Linked DNA regions of Ovis aries. The protein of the gene in region 2 binds, or shares a complex with, the protein of the main gene of each other region. Links are inferred from orthologs where the notes say so. Each region holds a gene or a part of one and is shown on either strand. Other genes may lie near its edges.

What was found. Proteins that work in one complex are often made in the same cells at the same time.
Region 1: the proteins of RANBP9 (region 2) and ARMC8 are in contact, whole or in part, in a cryo-EM structure (PDB 7NSC), measured with the Homo sapiens proteins. The link is inferred for Ovis aries from reciprocal best matches to the Homo sapiens genes RANBP9 and ARMC8. Residues at the interface, in NP_005484.2 of Homo sapiens: Tyr271, Gly298, His299, Ser300, Leu301, Gly302, Ile303, Asp337, Asp340, Tyr341, Arg343, Glu344, Thr347; in NP_001350870.1 of Homo sapiens: Gln245, Arg246, Asp247, Val277, Leu278, Lys279, Ile317, Ile320, Thr321, Asp322, His323.

What each region holds. Positions count from the first base shown.
Region 1 is NC_056054.1:251,531,547-251,542,168, forward strand, and holds part of ARMC8 (armadillo repeat-containing protein 8), read right to left. Parts: intron 7,184-10,622; coding exon 7,112-7,183; intron 5,780-7,111; coding exon 5,637-5,779; intron 5,533-5,636; coding exon 5,435-5,532; intron 1,898-5,434; coding exon 1,805-1,897; intron 1-1,804. UniProt on the Homo sapiens protein: Component of the CTLH E3 ubiquitin-protein ligase complex that selectively accepts ubiquitin from UBE2H and mediates ubiquitination and subsequent proteasomal degradation of the transcription factor HBP1.
Region 2 is NC_056073.1:42,215,786-42,225,973, reverse strand, and holds the end of RANBP9 (ran-binding protein 9), read right to left. Parts: intron 7,623-10,188; coding exon 7,511-7,622; intron 5,200-7,510; coding exon 5,069-5,199; 3' UTR 4,205-5,068; downstream 1-4,204. Other genes in the region: NOL7 (nucleolar protein 7), read left to right, coding at 323-381, 1,764-1,795, 2,179-2,260, 2,561-2,682, 2,764-2,841, 3,303-3,379. UniProt on the Homo sapiens protein: May act as scaffolding protein, and as adapter protein to couple membrane receptors to intracellular signaling pathways. Acts as a mediator of cell spreading and actin cytoskeleton rearrangement.

The DNA.
Region 1 (10,622 bases), on a different chromosome or scaffold from region 2:
TTTATTCCCTGTACTTCACTGCTCTCCCATTGTATTCAGCCAAGCTGTTCCTGCTTTCAGGTGACCTAATACTAATAGATTATTTTATACTCTTCAAGACATTTTACATATATACAAACAAATACCCAAATATATTCTTTCCTCTATTTTAACACAAATGGTGAACTAATACTATATATTTATATATAAAAAATACTATATATAAATACTTGTTGTATAGTTGCTAAGTTGTGTCTGACTCTTTTGTGACTCCATGGACTGTAGCCTGCCAGACTCCTCTGTCTATGGGATTTCCCAGGCAAGAAAACTGGAATGGTTGCCATTTCCTTCTCCAGGGGACCTTCTCAACCCAGAGATTGAACCTGTGATGCCTACATTGGCAGGTGGATTCTTTACCACTGAGCCACCAGGGAGGCCCGATATAAATACTACATATATTCACATATAGTTAGACATTTAGATTGTTTTCAGTCTTGGAGTTATGTTTAGAAATTATGGTGAAACACAAAGCAATTCTCTGTACATACCGTTCTCCATCATTTACAAGATATTGTACCTTTTAATTCCTCACATTCTTTGTCCAAATTGCAGTAAATATGTTACAAAAGAACCTCTTCCTTCTCTCTGTGGTTGTAGACAGGATTGTGTAAAAACAACTACAATGAAGGAATTAGTGGCTGAGCCAACTAAAGATGACGAACTATTGTTCTCTTCTTATTAAGTCTCTCTTGAATCTCTCCAAATCAACCTGCATGAACCTGGAGTTAGTGAAGCAGTCTCCTGAGAGTAGGAAGTACATAAGCCCTCATGTTCCTAAACTAAACACCAAATAATTGCTATCAAAATCTGAATAACTGCTTAGGAAGTGGCAACAACTTAGAAGTTAGGATTTCAATCAATATTATTACCACCCTTTTTTTGCTTCTTAATAAATCAAGGAGAGAATTTCAAAACTTTAATGATAACTTTAAAGCTCAGAACACAAATGTTTTAGAAACCTCTTTCTTTATCTCCCCTGTCCAAAGTATGTAAATTTATTTCATATTGATACTAGTATATGCAAATTTGTAGATCAGTCTTAAAATGCTATTACAAATTTTACTTCCGGCTTGTATGTAAACAATACAAAATAAAAAAAAAATTTATAATTAGTGACAATACAGAGATCATCAGATCAGTTGTTTTCAAAGACACATGTTGTTGGTGTATCAGTAGGAAAATCAATATTGGATTTTAGTCTATTACTATTGTCACTGCTACATGGGTTTATATATGCTACAATGTTTCCTGAAGTTTAGTTATATTTAACTACCTAAACTGATGGATAATCCTGAACAGAGCTAGCAAATGCTACTTATCAGTCTAAAAGAAAGCTGAGTTCTGTTAGTGGCATGAGGGTGCTTGTAAATTATAAAAATGTCTTGCATACAGGGTATTTGCTGCAGCACTGACTGCACAAGACTGGAAATAAGCTAACTGCCCAATGGTAGAAAAAAAGGTGAATAAATTATTGTACATCTATACAAAAAAATACTATTCATCTGTTTTTTTAAAAAAGAAAGAGGAAGCTCCTTATGTACTGATATGGAATATCCCTCAAAATGTTAAGTAAAAAATGCAAGGTACAGAACAGTATGTATGGTCTGTTACTATTTATGTCAAAAAAAAAAAGAGGAGAAATTATATACATACATAGGTCTGCTTATATGTGTACAGATTAGCTCCAGGAGGACATACCAAGAAGGCACATCTCCTGAGGGCATACAAGTATTTATATTACAGAGAACATTATCCTGGTTCTTACTTTACAGCAGTGTGAGAAGATCTGACAGATATACTCCTGGGTGTAGCGGGACCTGCTAAGCAGCGCCATGAGGTGCGGTATCACCGTGGCATCCTGGAGTGAAAGGGAAGAAGAGCAGAGCAACAGGGAACTCAGACTCGGTGAGTGTCTTTAACACTGATTTCCAAGGACAGGTACGCATGTAAGCATCTTTTTTTTTTTTTTTAATTTTAAAATCTTTAATTCTTACATGCGTTCCCAAACATGACCCCCCCTCCCACCTCCCTCCCCACAACATCTCTCTGGGTCATCCCCATGCACCAGCCCCAAGCATGCTGCACCCTACGTCAGACATGGACTGGCGATTCAATTCTTACATGATAGTATGCATGTTAGAATTCCCATTCTCCCAAATCATCCCACCCTCTCCCTCTCCCTCTGAGTCCAAAAGTCCATTATACACATCTGTGTCTTTTTTCCTGTCTTGCATACAGGGTCGTCATAAGCCTCTTATCTTAATGACAGTAAATCAAGTCTGTTTAAGGAACACAGCAACACAAAAGCAACATGTAATCAAAACTGTTTAGGCAAAGGACAAGGAAAGGGGCTTCAATTTTCATGCTTGATAATAATATAAAAGAACAGGAAATTCTCAATTTCTCTCCCATAAACATCCCCACAATAAAACAAGATCATTTCAATAAGACTTGACATAATCTATTCCAAAACCAAAATGTGACGTAATTAATGAGATAAATACTTACTACATAGCTTACAAGGAGGAATTACTGTATTAAAATAAAAGTTCACAATTTTGAAGTCTGAGATGTTTTGGTAAGTATCAGTAACAGATTAACATTTCTAATAACTGTAGTGAGCTAATTTCAGTCTTCACAAGACAAGACAGTTTATATAAAAGCAGCTTCTCACTTACAGCCCACTCTCTGCCTACTACTGACACTTCACAGCATACATGATGGTACAGAAGAAAGAAGAATCCACCCAATCTGCCTCAGGGCTCTCAAAAAATCTCCTCTTTCATGATTTAAACACTGAGAGGATATTTGGCCCAAACCACAGATGGAAAAGGAGACTTAGCTCGAGTGCCCTAGTCAGTGCTGTCGTAAGTCCTGCAGCAATGCTCTTCAGATACGAACGCGCATTGCATGTATGTTCTCAGGGGATACTCTGTATGTATAGACTGATTCTGTAGGTCTGAAGTACGACTTATGATTTGGCATTCTATCAAACTCCCAACTAATGGTTGATGTTGCTGGTCCACAGACCACACTTTGACAAAAGACAACAGAGGGCAAGGAAGGAAACTTAAAAGAATACCACTGTTGGGATAAACAAGGTTTGGGCAAGATACATAAAAGCTAAGTAGGAAAATAGTAGGCTATTTTTGTAGAAGATGCCTACAAATAGAATCTTTTCCCCTTGCTTGTTATAACCCTGTGTTGTCATAAGCAGTTTAAACACAAAATGAGGGAATTTCCTGGCAGTCCAGTGGTTATGACTCAGGGTGTTCACTACTGTGGGCCCAACGTTCAATCCCTGGCCAGGGAACTAAGATACTGCAAGCTGCTGTGTTACATATCTGCAGTTTCTGGTTGATTAAACAAGGCAAAGTACAGTTACATAATTTCCCCCAAAGTCATTCATCTTATAAACAATTTCAAACTACACATTCTGCCCTCTTCAACAGGATTCTGCGCTCCTTAGTTTAGTGCCTGAGTTGCTATGGCAGCTGGTCTCTATACAATCCTACCCACAGATGTCAGTTAGTTACACTGAAATACTACTCTCTGTCATTATCCCATCCAGCATTTTTTAGAGTCTCCACGGTCTCTGAGGCATAAAATTGTTTCATAATTTAGGTATCCTATGAAAGTCCCTTAAGTCCCTGTGTCTTAATTTTTCTTGCAAAAAGAAGCTAAGTTGGTATATAGCAGCATTCTCCAAATTACGAACCACAATCCATTAGCAGATCATGAAATCAATTTAGAGAGAGAGAAGGAAGGAGCTGAGTAAGTTGACCAGGGTCAATTCCTTCCCCAATACTGGGCTGAGGGTTGGGGAAAAACTTCTAGGGTAAAGAAGATGAGTGATTGGCTTAATTTCTTTGTAAAAATGACAATCGGAAATCCTTAAGTAAACAGACTGATACTCAGATGGAGAGTTCTATATAGAATGCTGTGAGAATGCTTCCTCAATTTAGAAATGCTTACAGTAAACCAGTGGTTCTCAGAGAGTGGACCAGTAGCATCTGGTTTACCAGATACTAAAGTTTACCAGTTACTGGCAAACTTGTTAGAAATGCATATTCTCAGGCCCCATCCCACACTGACTGAATTAGAAACTCTGGAGGTAGGGGTCCAGGATTCTGTGTTTAATACGCTCTCCAGGTAATTTCGGTCCCTGCTCAAGTTTGAGAACCATTGTGGTAAATGGTCTATGGATTTATGAGCCATGGTTCCCCAAAGAATGTTACACAAATCCTCAAGGTATAAAATCAAGATGCTTCATAATTTAGCTCCCTGCTGTGTGAGATGACCCACAAGCCTCATTTACAGACCTTAGGCATCATTACAGGCCAGAGGAGCAAGTGTCTAATATAGGAAAAACAAACTCTGGAGGCACATGACATGTCCCTCTCCCTGCCTGCTTTGCCTATGCCTCTTGACTACTTATATTTTTGAAGTATTTGTAAAACATGACCCTGGACAAGATCTCCAATACATATGTGTCCACTTTGAAACTATGATTCTGCATCTCAGCTCAGAGAATCACAACCAGCATTTTTTAAAATGAAAAAGGATAAAATAGAAGTCAGAAGGCACCACATTTATGCAATTGTTTTGTGAAGACTATCTCAAGATATTCCCACCACCACTCTGCGCCCCCACCTCCCACCCCCCACACACAGTGTGGCCGTAGAAAATATAATTCTACTGTGAATTGTGGATAAGAGAGTTTAAAAAATACTAGCCTTGATAAATTTATTAAGAAAGCCCCAGATAAGCAACAGATAAAAATACACTCTAATAATCCCTGAAGTTTCTGAAAACCAATGAATGACTCTGAAGATCTTTAGATTCTCTCACATGTATTCTCTGATCCTAGCCTGGTAAGTAAGCCTCTAACAAGTGCTTCTGGTTCACCTTTTCAGCTGAAATGAACAATGATTCCCTTCCTGCATTAAACTATTCTGTCCACTGTCCTGCATATTCTCTTTTTCAAAGATGTGCCCTAGAACAGCTTCTTTTCTCTACACTTCTTGAAATCTTATCCATTATTCAAGATCAGGTCAAATTCTACCTTCTCCATAAAGCCTCCTCTACCAGATTTAACCTATAGTGAGTGCATTAAATGTGTTTCCTTTTAAGAAATTAAGAAAGGTCTTTACAAAACAAAAAACAACAAAAAACCCCAGCTTATAAATTTCTCAAGGTCTGGGACTACCTTTCACTGCTTTACAAAGCCTAGAACATTTGATATTTGCAAATTAGCAATTCAAATATTTCTTGAGACTTTTCTATAACATAGTTATCACAGCTAAGATCAGTTATGAGATGCTAAGCTAAGTAAATCAGAAGTATGCTGTTAGTAAAAATGTAACTTGATGATTGAAAAACACCTAAAACTCACTGTATACAGTAGTTCCTCTGGAGTGACGGGACTGGTGAAGATGGTGCGCAGGCATCGGAGGCAAGCTTCAATGAACTTCAGGTCTGGGGACAGTAGTCCTGTTAAGAGAAAACAGATTTGAGACTCATGCTTCCAACTTATATTTAAAACGCTGCAAACTGATTCTACTTTTTACCTGTATAAAAATGACTTCCTTACATACCTTGCAGTAAGGCAGGGATAATATGGCAATCTAGTAGAGACTTAACATTGTTTTCAGTACCCATAGCAAGACTTCCCAATACCACTGCACATTCAGTTTTCAATTCTGTGCTTGAGGTTTCTTGCTGAAGCAAGTACAATAATCTAAAAAGAAAGAACTTGATAAACAGAAGAGACTAAAAAACTTAAAAGTAAACATTAGCTAAAAGTAATGTTACAGAAAAGGCTACCAATACATCCCACACACTGAAAATATGGTAGGTGAGTTTACAGGCTGCTAGGAAATGGTCATATCTTTATATAAGCTGTTAATTTAATAAAGGAATATCGGCAGCGGGGAGAACCAAAAGAGATTTTCTTCTTTGTGAACAACAGAATTATCATACAATCTTAGTGTCAGAACTTCAAAATCTGAGAGTTGTCCACAAGCGATGTCCTGTAGAAACAGCCAGCACGACAGTCCACATTATCTGACACTTCAAGATATGAAGATTCCCAAAGCCAAGTGCTGGTGGATCTTAAGGACCCTGAATATCCACTACCACAGTTCAGAGATCACAGACATCTAGCCTAGAGGGAATACTCAGAGTCCTTGTGCAGCTCTTCAAACAAGGGAAGTTCTCTTCTTTCTCTGATTCTCCTATTTGGGGCATCAAAAGATCCTATTCTATTCTAGGCTAGCCTGTCAAAAAACTACTCCCCAAATTCCAATTGTCTACAACATATGACTATCTCCTTTATGTTCTAAGGTACATCCTTCATGCTCCCTAAAGCATATTTATATATACTGAGCACTAGTCCCCTAAGAAAGGCTGCTGACAGCTTTACAGTTACCAATGGTTGATTATAATAAAAACAACAAAACCATTAAACAATCCTACATTAAAAGACACGAAAGAAAAAAGAAGAAAGAAAAGCAAGACATTTAAAAATTCTGAATGAAAAATTTGTAACTGCACATAAAACTTAATTCTGGGTAGCAAAGGCAAAGAAGCAGTTAAACAATTATCACTGTCTGCCAAAAAGAAGCTTAATAGCTTCATCAGAAGACATGAAACTTTCTATGTTAATTTAAAAGCCAGCAAATTCTAAAAAGCAGGGTCAAAAAATAAATTTTTTTTTTAGTTTCAAAAAAGGTTTTGAGAATCCTAAGAAATTATTATCCCATCATATAAAAGTTGCCAGAGCTCTGAGGAGACCGGGAAGAATCAGGATGGTGTACATTGCTTATTTACCCAACGTGTCCTTTTATGGCAGGGTCAATGATCTTCCCAAACCTGTAAAAAGTATTCATATATTCCACTCCTTGGTATCTTAATTTTTTAAAAGAGATGCTTCATATACTTCAAAGCATTTATTAAAAAAAAAAAAAAGTAGGACAGACAATACAGAAAAAAGAAGGGTCTTATGACTGAGAATGAGAACACATCTGAAACTTCATATGAATAGCAGAAAAGGGGATAGTAGCAAACTTACCTTGGAACAGCTCCTAAAACAATGAGGTTGGCTTTCTGCTTGTTGTTTCCAATTACAGCATTTTTCATGTCTCTGAATTCAAGGAAAAGAGAAAAGGGTAAGATGTGTTGAGATACTAATTTATCTTTATTTTACAGCATCTTGGATTGTCAAGTACGGATGTTAAGTGACAAAGTAAAACCCTGACACTTCTCTGCTTGGAGTGCTAAAGAGACGGGACAGAGACAGGGCTGTGCAACCAGGGGCTATGAAACAGGAGGGCAGCAGTGGAGGGGGAGTGAGAGACAGCCTGAGAATCAGCAAAAGACTTTCAATACAAAGAAAGCCGAGTTCTTCAAAAAAAAGACCACCGATCCTTTGAATAATAAGAAATACAGGCTATCTTCTCATGCATAGCTCTGGGAGTAGGCAGTAAAAGCAGCCAGCCCAAGGAATAGACCTGACCTTGTTTCAGGGACCATGACTTTACTTTCCTCTTTTTCTGACTTCCTTGGACCGAATATTCCTGTGATTCCATTTTATCTCCTTTATTGTCAAACTAGCTGTACTTCTTTGGGTTTTGTTTTGTTGTTTTGTAATGGTAGATTTACAGTTTACAATATGTACCTTTTAACTTATCACAGTCTTCAAGGTATAGTGTCCTACTTCATGTGAACTGTAAGAGCCTTGCAAACATACTTCCATCTTCCCATTCATTCTTTGACCTGCTGTTATACATCTTTAAACTAGTTAGAAACAACATGATATATTGCACTATTTTTTGGGGGGGGGGGCTGCATCATGAGGTTTGTGGGATTTTAGTTTCCCCACCAGGGATTGGACCCCTGCAGTGAAAGTACAGAGTCCTAACCCCTGGGCAGCCAGGGAATTTTCTATATTGTACAATTTTTGCTTAAACAGTCACTTTTAAGGAGATTAAAAAATACAAAAACATCTTTTATTTAAAATTTAAAGATATTTACTTATTTGGCTGCACCAGGTCTTAGTTGTGGCATGTGAGATCAAGTTCCCTGAACAGGTATTGAACCACAGCCCCCCTGCATTGGGAGTAGGGAGTCTTAGCCACTGGACCACCAGGGAAGTCCCAGAAAATATCTTTTATATTTCCCATTTATTCACCAGTATTTTTTACTCTTGCTACACTCAGATCTCCATTTCTCTGGGAGCGAAACTCTTTTCCACAATAAGAGTATCTCTATCAATGACCAGTTGGTTCACAAACACATGGTTGTTCTCAAAGGACAGGCAAAGAAAAAATAAATAGCTCAAAATAAGCCTAGTACTTGGAGAAGGAAATGGCAAGCCACTCCAGTATTCTTGCCTAGAGAATCCTGTGGATGGAGGAGCCTGGTGGGCTGCTGTCCATTGGGTCGCACAGAGTCGGACACGACTGAAGCGACTTAGCAGCAGCAGCAGCAAGCCCAGTACTAATAAAATGTTTAATAAAAAAAAAAAAGGTAATTGGTCAGTAGTGCTATCTTAATATAAAAACACTATGGTTCTCAAACCTTCTTCTTCTTGTGGAAGAAGGCATCAGAGCCTCCCAGGGACATTTCAGATGTTTATGAAGATGTCTGAAAATTTCTGGCCATAGTTTTAAAACAGAAAGCAGTTTTTGCACAATCTTCAAGAAAACTGTATTTTTCAGTATTGTACCTGCTTTGTAAATAAAAGGGAGATTATACTTTTTATTAAAAGTTACTTCATTTTGGAAAATCAAATAAGTGGCACTCATGGTAGATGGGGTCATCAATACCATACCAATATCAGCCCACAGTTTCAGCTCTTGCTTTCATACCTCATTAAGTTTTCTAACATGTTCATGCTTAAGCACTAACATATTGAAACATTATAAGTTATCTTTCTTTCATATGCCAAAATACATTCCCCTAGTTACTTGCTGAGCATCTCTCCTAACTTCTCTTAGGTGGCAGAGCTCTACAACATAGAAATTTTTTGTCAACCATTGAAATTATACTCCTAAAAAAGTCCTGTAATTGGCAAACTATGATCTTATAGAAAAACAGGATAGAAAACCAGGGGGAAAGGTTGGGGGGTGGAGGTGGAGAGGGAGTTATTAAAATCAATGACTTCATGTTATTGTCAGCTTGTGTTTCCAACACCAGCCAATTTCATCAGCATTAAAAACCCTGGTAACGATAATACCCCTCTCCTTAATTATCTTTTTTGATTATTATAGGAAAGTGCTGTTATGATGTGGTGGTCTGCTGAAAGCTGATCCTCCCCATAAGAATAGCATTTTCACCAGTCTTGAGCCAAACACTGTACTTATTAGGGTTCTTCCTTTAGCTCAGTGCTTGAGGGCCTTCTCTCTCTCTCTCTTTCTCTCTCTCTCTCTTTAGAATATCCCTCAGATCTTCCATATGATTTACAGCAGATAAGCAGGAGTATTTTGTTCATTTGTTTGCTCATGAGGACTAAATTGAATGAAGCTTACTATGGTTTTAACCAAGCTCTGATATATGATTTTAAAATTCATGTGATATCGAAGCTTCACTGAGCAAAACACAATTAATGAGAGACTGTACATCTAGGCTCCTGCCTCCTTATAGATGCCTGCTGTTTTCTTAGAGACTGACTTCCCAACTGTCGGCTTATAGACTCTAACCTAGCAGTCTGTCATTTTCCTTCTTCTTCTCTTCTCTTAATGTGTTCTGCCTATACTAACGCAGCATACTCATGCATCCGGGAGATTACTGAAAGTTTATTTTTGCCAGGTGCCATTCTAGAGGCTTTCTATTATGGAACTTCTAATTCTAACATTTTCCCAGATTTCTCCCCATTCTTCCTAAACTGAGCAGAAATGAATGACCCTAACCTTGTAAATACAACCCAAATATCTGAAACCATGCCAGAGTAAATGTTTTTACAGACAAAAGCAAACAAAACTCCTCCAAAACCAATTTTCCAATTTCCTTACTAGTTTGAAAAATGGACATGACGGAGGCAGCTGGTAGTTATAAAGTAACTGCAGACTAAAGAGAACACAATTAATAAAAGGTACCAATGGGGCTTCTCTGGTGGTCCAGTGGTTGAGACTCTGCCAGCCAATACAGCAGACACGGGTTCGATGCCTGGTCTGGGAAGATCCCACATGCCATGGGGCAACCAAGCCCATGTGCCACAACTACTGAGCCTGCATGCTGCAACTACTGAAGCCTCTGCACCTAGAGCCTGTGGTCAGCAACAACAGAAGCCACTGCAATGAGAAGCCCACGCACTGCAATGAAGAGCAGTCTCTGTTCGCCACAATTAGGGAAAGCCCAAGTGCAACAATGAAGACTCAGTATAGCCAAAAAATGAATAAACAAATTTAAAAATAATTAAATGGACCAATGTCTAAAGAAAACAATTCTTGCTCTGGTTCTAACAAGTAAAATATTATCTATACTAAAGAAGAGATGTTAACGCCCTGCAAATAAATTCTATTTAGTTGTTAATATAAAAGGATAGCAGAAGATCATTTCTATTAAAGAGTTAAAAACTGCAA
Region 2 (10,188 bases):
GATGCTTGGTTCGCGCTGTGCTGTTCCGGAGATTGGCCGCAGGTGGACGTGACTATGAATTGCCCTCGGTGTATAACGTGACCCGAGGGTTAGAATAAACCGGGCACCCTTTCCAGCCTTCACGTCTTCCAAGTGAAGTGGGAGCAGGCTCTGAGTTGCTTGGGCCCCAGTCTTCCCATAGCTCACAGGTAGTGGAGGGCAGTGTTCGGATCATTTATTTGCCTAGAGGTAGGGCTATCCTTAAAATGGTAACTTCAAAAGCACTTCAGGGCGTGTTGTCCTGTTGCTTACTTTTTATGATTTTTTTTTTAACGTCTTTAAGAAAAGAAAACTTCTTCCAGATACTATTCTAGAGAAGTTAACTACAGCTTCACAAACTAGGTAAGTGGTGGATCTCGTTTTATTACTTGTTTACATACAGTGTTTCAATGCTGTCTTGGTACATTTGTCTGAACTCAAGTTTTAAAGTCTAAATTAAAAAGCTACCCAGGAGATAAGTGAATTTGGTGGGACAGGTGGAGGGAAATGTTCCACTTATTTTCCATCTGTGGCTGTTTCTTATTTTTGTTGTTTGCATGGGTAACTCTAGCTTCTGAGTTGCTGATTTCAGTGAGTTCCTACAGTATGTCAGTGTACTAGGGGCAGGATAGATGGTGTGAATAAAACAGTGTTTTGAAGTTCATCCTTTAGTGGGGTGTGGAGTACTAGTCTATTATCCATAGGCTCCTAGAACTCAGCTTGTCCCGTGCTTGCCTTACCTACTTCTCCCTCCTTGTTAAAGTGAAGTCACTCAGTCCTGTCCAACTCTTTGTGCCTCTGTGGACTGTTTCCATGGGGTTTTCCAGGCAAGAGTACTGGAGTGGGTTGCCATTTCCTTCTCCGGGGTATCTTCCCTACCCAGGGATCGACCCTGGGACTCCCGCATTGTAGGCAGATGCTTTACCATCTGAGCCACAGAATTTTCCCCTCCTTCTTCCCCTTTTCATTTAGTAGCTTTGCCATCCACCGTATGTTTAAAGTTCCCCTTTCTCCTCTGTGCTATGGCATCAGGTTCTATACTGTACTAAATTTAGATTAAATATTTGCTATTTTTTTTCCTGTTCCCCTTTGTCTCCTCTTTTTGCTTTCAGTTTAGCTTAGCCCTGCTAGAACAGTGGTTCTTTTTCCGTAGGAGAGCTTTTCCAAAGTTACTCAGTTTCTGAATACATCGTGGTGGCAAAGTCCCTTTCATCTTTGAAAACCAAGTTGTCACCTGTCCCTTCTTATTCCCTCTACCCCATCACTGCTCCCGCCGATTAGCTTTTCCACTTCTGTATAGACATCTCACTGTGTTCTGGCCTTTGACTCTCCATTAGACCACACTTGTTGAGACTACCATTGTTTGTCTCCATTCTTGTGTCTGAAGTGTTCAGTTAATCCTTTCAGCTCTCTCCACAGGCCTACCACCTTTCACTTCATGTTTCAATGTATTACATAATTCTTAAATACTTTTTACTCCATCAACCACAACAGTCTGCTTCTTTGGAAGCCTGCTAATGTACTTTCAGATTTTAAATTCTGATCCTACAAGCCTAGTATAGTTTGTTGATTGGGAGTTGTTGACAGTGCATTGGGGAGTGACTTTAAGGATGCTCAGTAAAAATTGAGAGTGGTGGTAGTAAAAGAGGGTTATCTTATTTGTAAAACCAGCTGAAATTTTGTGGTAACCTGAGTCATCGTTGCTGTCTGCTATCCCAATCAGTGTTTTGCTTGTTCTTCCTTAGTGTGAAGAAATCACCGGGAAAGTTGAAAGAAGGTATGAACTATTTACGTAACCTCTCATTAAGTGTCAAGGGCATTTGCTGGTATTTGCAAATGTTGTTGACCCTGAGAAGGAGCATGGGAACAGGCCTGGTGGGCTTTAGCTTGTTTCTTTTTTCAAAAAAATTATTTATTTGGCTCTGCCGGGTCTTAGTTGTGGCATGCACATCTGTTAGTCTTGGCCTGTGGGATCTAGTTCTCCCAGTAGGGCCTGAACCTAAGCCCCCTGCGCTGGGAGCACAGAGCCTTAAATTTTAGCTTATTTTGTACTGTCACATACTCATTGGTGTGTAGTGGTTATTTAAAGTAAACTCCAGCATACAGTCTTGATTTATTTGTGCACAAATGCTAATGAGAAATATTAACTCAATTTTTTAGTTAATTTGCAAAAGAAAAATGAAGAACGAGGAAAAGGAAGTGACTCTAAGAAAGCTAAAGTGCAGAAAGTACAGACTGTTGGGTAAGAAGTCGTCTTTGTGTGTAGGATGTAGAGGTGACCTTTGAGGGGGGTATACCTCAATTAGTAGCGGTTTCAGATTGGATCCTCTGTGGGAAATTTTGGGTATTTATATTTAAAAGTATTTGCTCTACTAAAATGTAAACGTTAGTTGTAAAATAGCCCTGTAATTTTATCATCTAACCTGTGCTTACACACAATTAGGATTTGGGGATTTTTCTCCACTATTTGAATCAACTAACAGAAATACTTTACTTTGAAAATAAGTATGGCCTCATTTTTACCTTTTGTATTGATCACCAGCCAGAATAAAAGCTACATGGCTGTAAGGCTAAAAGATCAAGATTTGAGAGATTCAAGGCAAGAAGCTGCCAAAGCCTTCATACAGAATTGTTTATATGGTCCTGGAACCAACAGAACTACTGGTAATTTCCTTACAGACTGTTTTTTCTTCCTTTTCTAACTGTGAATTAAACCAAAAAATGACAAATAATCCTCTTTCCTAGTAAACAAGTTCCTGTCTCTTGAAAACAAGAGGTTACCGATGAAAAAGGCTGCAGCCCAGTTTTTGAATAATACTTGGGGTAAGATTTGGCTTTATTCTCTTGAATCTGAGTTTTATATATTGAACAATGTTTCTTGTTAAGGAGCTGGTAGATACTCATGACGTATCTTTTTTTAAGTGGCTTCTGTTACTGTTTTAAAGTTGCTTAGAGAGCAGGTCAGTGTAGTTTATTTGTGCATGTGTGCTCAGCTGTGTCCACCTCTTGTGACCCCAGGGCCTGTAGCTCGCCAGGCTCTTCTGTCCATGGGATTCTCCAGGCAAGAACACTGGAGTGGGTTGCCATGCCCTCCACCAGGGGATCTTCCCAACCCAGGGATTGAACTCATGTCTCTGGCATTGCAGTGAGATTCTTCTACCATTGAGCCACCAGGAAAGCCCAGTATATGTGTACATATAGCAACTTTTAATTATGTAGAAAATTTGTGAATTGTTTCTTGGGAATTTTATTTATTCTTAACTGCACAAAACTTTTTATTCTAGGATCTCAGAGAAAACAAAATGCCAAGAGGTTTACCAAACGTTGGATGGTCAGAAAGATGAAAACTCCTAAGACATAAATCAAAGCTAGATGAAGAACGAGTACTTTGTATGTATAGAACTTAGTTATTTAAAGAATGTAATTTTTCTGGGGAAAAAAAAAAATAAATCACTTACAAATCCTTCTGAAGAGTCATTTTAAGAATCTCAAGTCTCTCAGGGGCAGTACCTAGTCACACTTCATCCACCTGGCGTATAACCGTGCCTCCTAGTCTTTGAGCATCCTGGAAGCAGCAGTTTAAAAGGACTTGTTTTCCTTTTTTTTTTCCTGTTTTTCCATTTTATTGACCACAAGCAGTACCCACACCAGGAGGGCACCTCTGCTACCGTCCGTCCAACCCCCACCCCCGGTATGGCAGTAAAAGTCTCTAACTGAAGCTCTCTGATGTGTTTGTCTCAGGTATTTTGGTGCCACTGATGAGACTCTCACAGAATATGTGGAAGAGTATCCAAGCGTAGATAATTGTTCTTTTAAAAGAAGGTTTAAGACTCAGTGTACAGCCAACAGACACCTTTGCCAAACCAAAGGATATGGTCATTCTGTTGAAGAGCTTGTTTATATTTTACTTTTAACCAGTTTGGGGGTTTGCTTTAAAACTGGCAAGTCACACACCATATGATGATCATGAAAATAAGATCGACTCCCTGCTTTCTGCATCATCTATAGCATCAGGTTTGGCCCTGATCCAGGGAGGCCAGTAAATGCAAGGCAGTCTTGGGTTGCAGAGCTCAGATTTATAGTAGCAACCACTCATTCTAACTTGTTCTAACTTTACTTGTTCTAACTTTATATTAATCATAAGTATGCAGGTACCTAATGTATAAATTCAACTGACACTCTGGTATCTGTAGAAGTAAATTTTTAATGGCTGGTTAATTATATCACTACATTTTTATTGCAATATAGTACTCATTTTAAGCACTTAAAAATGGAAGGTGTACAAAGATTAAATTAAGACACAGTAAATTGACTAAATATTTGGTTTTTATATAAATAAAGGTCATAACCACACTGTTGACATGTAATACTGTTATAATACAACAGTTCAACTTGTGAGTCTACAACAGAAGTCATCTGTAGTTAAACAGGAAACAAAGTTGAGAAAGACCATGTTAAAACAAAACTACTGGGACTAACAGGTCGGGATTGTAAGTAGCAACAAACATATTCACTCAGCTCCTGAGTATTTCAAGTTTTACAGTACACATTAAAAATGATTTCTTCCATCAACACTATAAATTCAAACTGTCAGATGTTTATGCATTTTGCAAGTTACACTGATTGAATGCTTATATGGGAGCGGGGGTCAGAATACCTCCCAATTTGAAGTTTACATCACCCACATGCTAACACAAACACAACTTGTTCCGTTTCCTTCCCCCCTCTCTCCCCCCAACAACGAAGGCAGGACTTTTTGGTTTCTTTTAGGTAATTGTTTTAGAGGATTTGTGATGATCAATTTGAATGTCTGGAATTCAGTAATATTCAACTCTTAGACAACTAAGAGGCTAAAGATGGAAAATAATTGCTCCTAACACTAAGTTAGAAAATCATTTGCATCATGCTGTAAACTAGGAAGCAATGTAAAGCGACAAAAACCTGTCCCCAGTACATAATTAAAAAAATCTAAGTTTCAGATCAGCAGAGCTGGTCTACTTCCATGTCGTCTATATGCCGCAATGTAAGTGTGAGCTCCGAAAATGCATAGCTAATGTAGGTAGTCGTCCACTGTGGCAAAAGCACAGGATCCGATTCCTGATCGAGCCATCAGTCCCAGACACTGGGTGGCCTGTCCCATGGCTAGGGCGAGTGGAGGTTGCTTTGGCAGATTGTGGGTTTCTGTGGAAAAATGATTAAAAGTGGAAACGCCAATTAGCAAGACATTTTAAACAGCATCTCTCAATCAGGAAAACACTGCATTGCTTACAAAATTACCAATGCCTGTACTGCACTTAACAAGCTAAGTAGCAAAGGTGGTTTTTAAGCAAACAATACCTTGGACATTACTTTGACAAGGTACTATATGGTCACTGGGTTTTCAAGTAGTAGTAAATTCTTGCAGAACTAAGACTGTTAGATATTCAAAAAATTTACTTCCATATTTACTATGATGGGAATGATGTAATTTCTTAACTAATGTTTATCTAATGTTGACATTACCAGAAAAAAAGGCACCAGGCGTTCAGTAAAGTTTTACTGATGGATTCTTCATCTTTCTGGGGATACGGCCCAACAGAGGCCACCTACTCCTCTCCAGGGCACAGTGGTGAATGCTATTTGGGTTGGTAAGCACATTGTTACACTTTTACTTTGGCCAAGGGAGGCACATCAATTATAACTGTCCTTTAGACTTTTTTGGAATACAAAACTTGCAGGCCTCACATACAGTAATGTAACTTGAAGCCCCATTGAGACGTGAAGCTCTACAACACAGCACAGTATACAAATACGCACCCCCCCCCCCCAGCAGTGTAAGTCTGGTCATTCCTTTTGCAGGAACTACATATAGTTAATGAATTTAAGCACTATTTGTAGTTGAACTACATAATTTAGGGCACAATATGTAAGACTATATATATATCTCCTGGATAGTGGTCCTAAGCAATTGACTACTTGAAATTTTAATTCCCCTGGAGAACATAAGATTCTTAACTGTCACATGAAAACTGGTCACTTTTCTTCAAAAATTCTGAATCTGAGCGTTACCCAGATAGAAAGCAATTAGGACTTCATGATTACCTATAATGTAGTCATTTCAAAAAGACAGTTACAGTAAACTATAATTTGCCCTACAATTCTAGCACTGCTACTGAGTATACTTATTTTTTATCAGTAGAACTAAATTAATTTTGAATAACCAAAGCAACATATTAACCAAAGTTCACATCATTATATACAAATCCTAAATGTGAGAAAATTATAACAATACCAATTCCTATGCCCAAACTTCACTATTAAGCCACAACACAATTAATTAATAATGAACTTTATCAGAGAAAAGAAGTAAGGCCCCAATGTCAGAACTCTAAATTGCTCCCCTGGCTTTGGCTCCAGTCTCCTGCCTGCACACTGACACTGTGCACGGCCCTCATCTAAGAGTGTCTCACATGTTCCTCAAAGCTCCCAAGCCTAATGGCCAAACAGCACACAACAGACTTTAAACTGGTAGCTCCCATTTTTCTTGAGGAATTACATTCTAAAATGGAAGGTGAAAAGTCACTCATCCAAATTCCCTTTGAAAAAAAATGCCCAGGTATTAAAATGTCATTTTATGTAAATAATCAACCCTATGTAGTTTATACTGGAGAAGGCAATGACACCCCACTCCAGTACTCTTGCCTGGAAAATCCTATGGACGGAGGAGCCTGGTGGGCTGCAGTCCATGGGGTCACTTAAGAGTTGGATACAACTGAGCGACTTCACTTTCACTTTTCATTTTCATGCATTGGAGAAGGAAATGGCAACCCACTCCAGTGTTCCTGCCTGGAGAATCCCAGGGACGGGGGAGCCTGGTGGGCTGCCGTCTATGGGGTCGCACAGAGTCGGACACGACTGAAGCGACTCAGCAGCAGCAGCAGCATGTAGTTCATATATAAATGCATAAAACGTGCAGTTACTGAATTCATTTAAAGAGCATCTGTTCAGTTTATAAGCACCGCACTCTGCTCCCAAGGAATGGCTACCAGTTGGGACAGCAAGTCCCGTTTCCCACTTTGGGCTCCCCCTGGCTAAGCCTACATACTGCTGCCACCCCCCACACACCCTTTTTCACTTGCTAAGGGCATGTAGTTAAATCTTTAATGCAAACAGCCTGCGTCTCCAAGAGCTGGGGCTGACAGCACTGAAGAGCCCCCTGGAGGCCCCGAGTGATTCAGGCCAGGAATGCTGTGTCTACATTCACACAGACACTTGTTTTCCAGACTTGTTTTCTTGTATCACAAGATATACCCCAATGTACTGTTTTTATTCCATTGGAATCCATTTAATCGGGGACTGAGATAATAGGAATTTTTCTATACTGTGAGGTAATTTTTTTTTTTAATGTAGGAAACATTTTCCTCAAGATTTTACCAAAGGATAAATGCCAGCACAAATACTGTCTCAAATACTCAAGAGACTAGTTGAAGCTGTGCTTTCTGGCTTCACTTACCTAATATTGCACTGTTAAGAGCTGAGCACACAGGTTCTCTCTGAATTGGGTCAAGCTGATTTCCAACTGGGCTGTTCCAAGGATCTGAATAGGCTAGTAAACTGAATGCATCCTGTTGAAAACAGCAATTTGATTAAGTCAGATAGTTCAGTGTCTGCTCACTATGGCTTCAACTTGAGAGACAGGTAAAATACAACCTTAAGGCACTGAATTAACACTTCAACTCATTTACCCCTGTGATCTGAGACTGTTTTTTAACAACTAGATTATGCAGCAAAGTCTAATCTGTTTTCCTATTTTTTACAAACAGCCATTTTCACCATCCACCACTTATACCTACAAAACATACAGAACAGAAATAAAATGGAAAAAACTCATTCTTGTGGAATGGGCTACTACTGTTTAAGTTAAAGACAAAACATTCAGATGCTCTATAATTAATGACCACTGACAGCAATGTGACATTAAACGGATATGACCTGCCATATATTTTTTTAAAAAAATAGATGGGGGAAACTGGACACATCTTACTGGACGTCTTCTCAAACTCAGCGATCAAAACAACTAGCTCCCCTTCAAGAACACTCAGGCGTCCCAACCACCTTCAGACTGCCCCTCCTGAAGCAACTGACATCCAGCATTCTTTTCAGGTGATGGCTCTTGTCTTTCTGTGGGAGGATAGAACTACGGATGGAACTACGACGGTTTCAGACGTTGGCCTCAAGTGGAGCTGCATCACCAGTGTAGCCTTTGGCAAGAACAACCTTCCTAAGTATCAGTTTCATCATCTGTATAATGGGGATTGGGCTTCCCAGGTGGCTCAGTGGTAAAGAATCTGCTTGCCAGCGCAGGAGCCACAGAAGCTGCAGGTTCAATCCCTGGGTCAGGAAGATCCCCTAGAGGAGGAAATGGCAACGTGTATACTTGCTGGGATAATTCCAAGGACAGAGGAGCCTGGAGGGATACAGTCCATGGAGTTGCAAAGAGTCAGACACGACTGAGCGCAACCCCTCTTCCCCCAACATCACAGGGATTATAAGAGGTCCTATTTCAGTTTATGAGGACTCAATGAGCTAAAGAAATTAGCCATGTCAGTTCACGCTAATCTTTCAATGAATGATAAATTACTGTTTTGCCAGAAATCAACACCCCAATCCAGAATAATATGATGATGCAGATATAGACAGTTAGACATAGGACACCTTCCTAGTTCACATGGGGTACGTGGAGAAGTGCTGAGGGAACGAAATCAGTGAATTCAGTAACAACACTCAGAATGCCAGTCACTGAAATGTGGAAGACACATTCCTGAAGAATACTATCTTCCCAGGTAAACTGCTCCAGCATCCCTTGAGTCATCTTGCTAGTGGGAAAAGGCTTCCTGGTCAAGTTTGACCTTGCCCTTTCTCATCTGAATTGGCCTCTGTGTTGTGGCGACTAGAGAAGAGCTGCCCATTAAGCAGAGCTGTGCAGTCTGGGGTTGACAACAGGAATACATTAGGCTCCCCCATCCACTGTCCTACACGGCTTAGCATTTCATTCACATTAGACCTCTTGCCCCACCTATTAATGAAAGTTCTTTGAACAACTTATACTATTGTTCCCCTGCAGTCCTCAAGATGCTGGATACAAAGGGGTGAAAAAAAAAGGCTCATACACCTGTTGATTGCAAGACCTGCTTAACAGTACTGAAGATATCTTTTGCATCCCACAAAGCTAGTAGATTCTGGTTCTCTCCCAATCCAAATTTATTCATGGAGAAAGTACTAATATCCTGTTAAGCTAACTGATCAATCACTATTTCTAAGGACTGAGCTTTGCTCAAGACTTAATTCACCCACGTCCATCTCCTGACGTGCCACCCCTGTAGCGCACTTCAGCTCCGTTCAGTTGCTCAGTTGTGTCTAAGTCTTTGTGATCCCTATAGTGCAGATAAATTTTAAAAGACTGAAAAATCTGTCCAAGGAATAATCGCTACATAAAGCTTTAAGCACAAGACTATGCTCCTGAATCTACATCCTGACTTGCTCCCCGAAAGGTGGGATGCTGCAGTTCCAAATCTCCCATCAAGACCATTCTGTCTACACCTCCTGGTATTTAAAATATTAACAGAAAAAGATCGTGATGGTAGTAACTTATTGTGCGCTAACACTGTGCAAGGAAGTGTTTCAAGGGCTAACGTGAATCATCTTATTTAATCCTCACAATAACCTTAGGAGCCAGATGTTTATGCCCATCTTAGAAGCAAACTGAGGCCGTGAGAGGTTACCACCACAGCTAGTACTTCTGTACTTCTTTTAGTAAAAACAGTTTCTTTCAATTACCAATCTAAATATTACAAGCAAAAAAGTCTAAGATCTTGGCCCAGTATTTTCAGTACGATTGAACAAGTATTTATTGGACGAAGACGGGGATCACTAGGGCCTTGTCACTGTTGCAAGGACTCACAGTCCTGGGAGGAAGGCAGATGTGTGAGCAGTGGCGCGCCGGGTACTGCTTGCTAACAGTGTACTGTGTCACAAGCAGCAGCCGGAGACACAGGCTGAGAGGAGAGAAAAGCCCTGGATGGTGGGAGCCATGAGTATGAGCTTAGATCCTGAAACACCCTAGAAAACTCCCATTTTTTCCAGTGCAGCTATAGGAGCTGTTAGTCACTCAGCCGTGTCCCCACTCTCTGG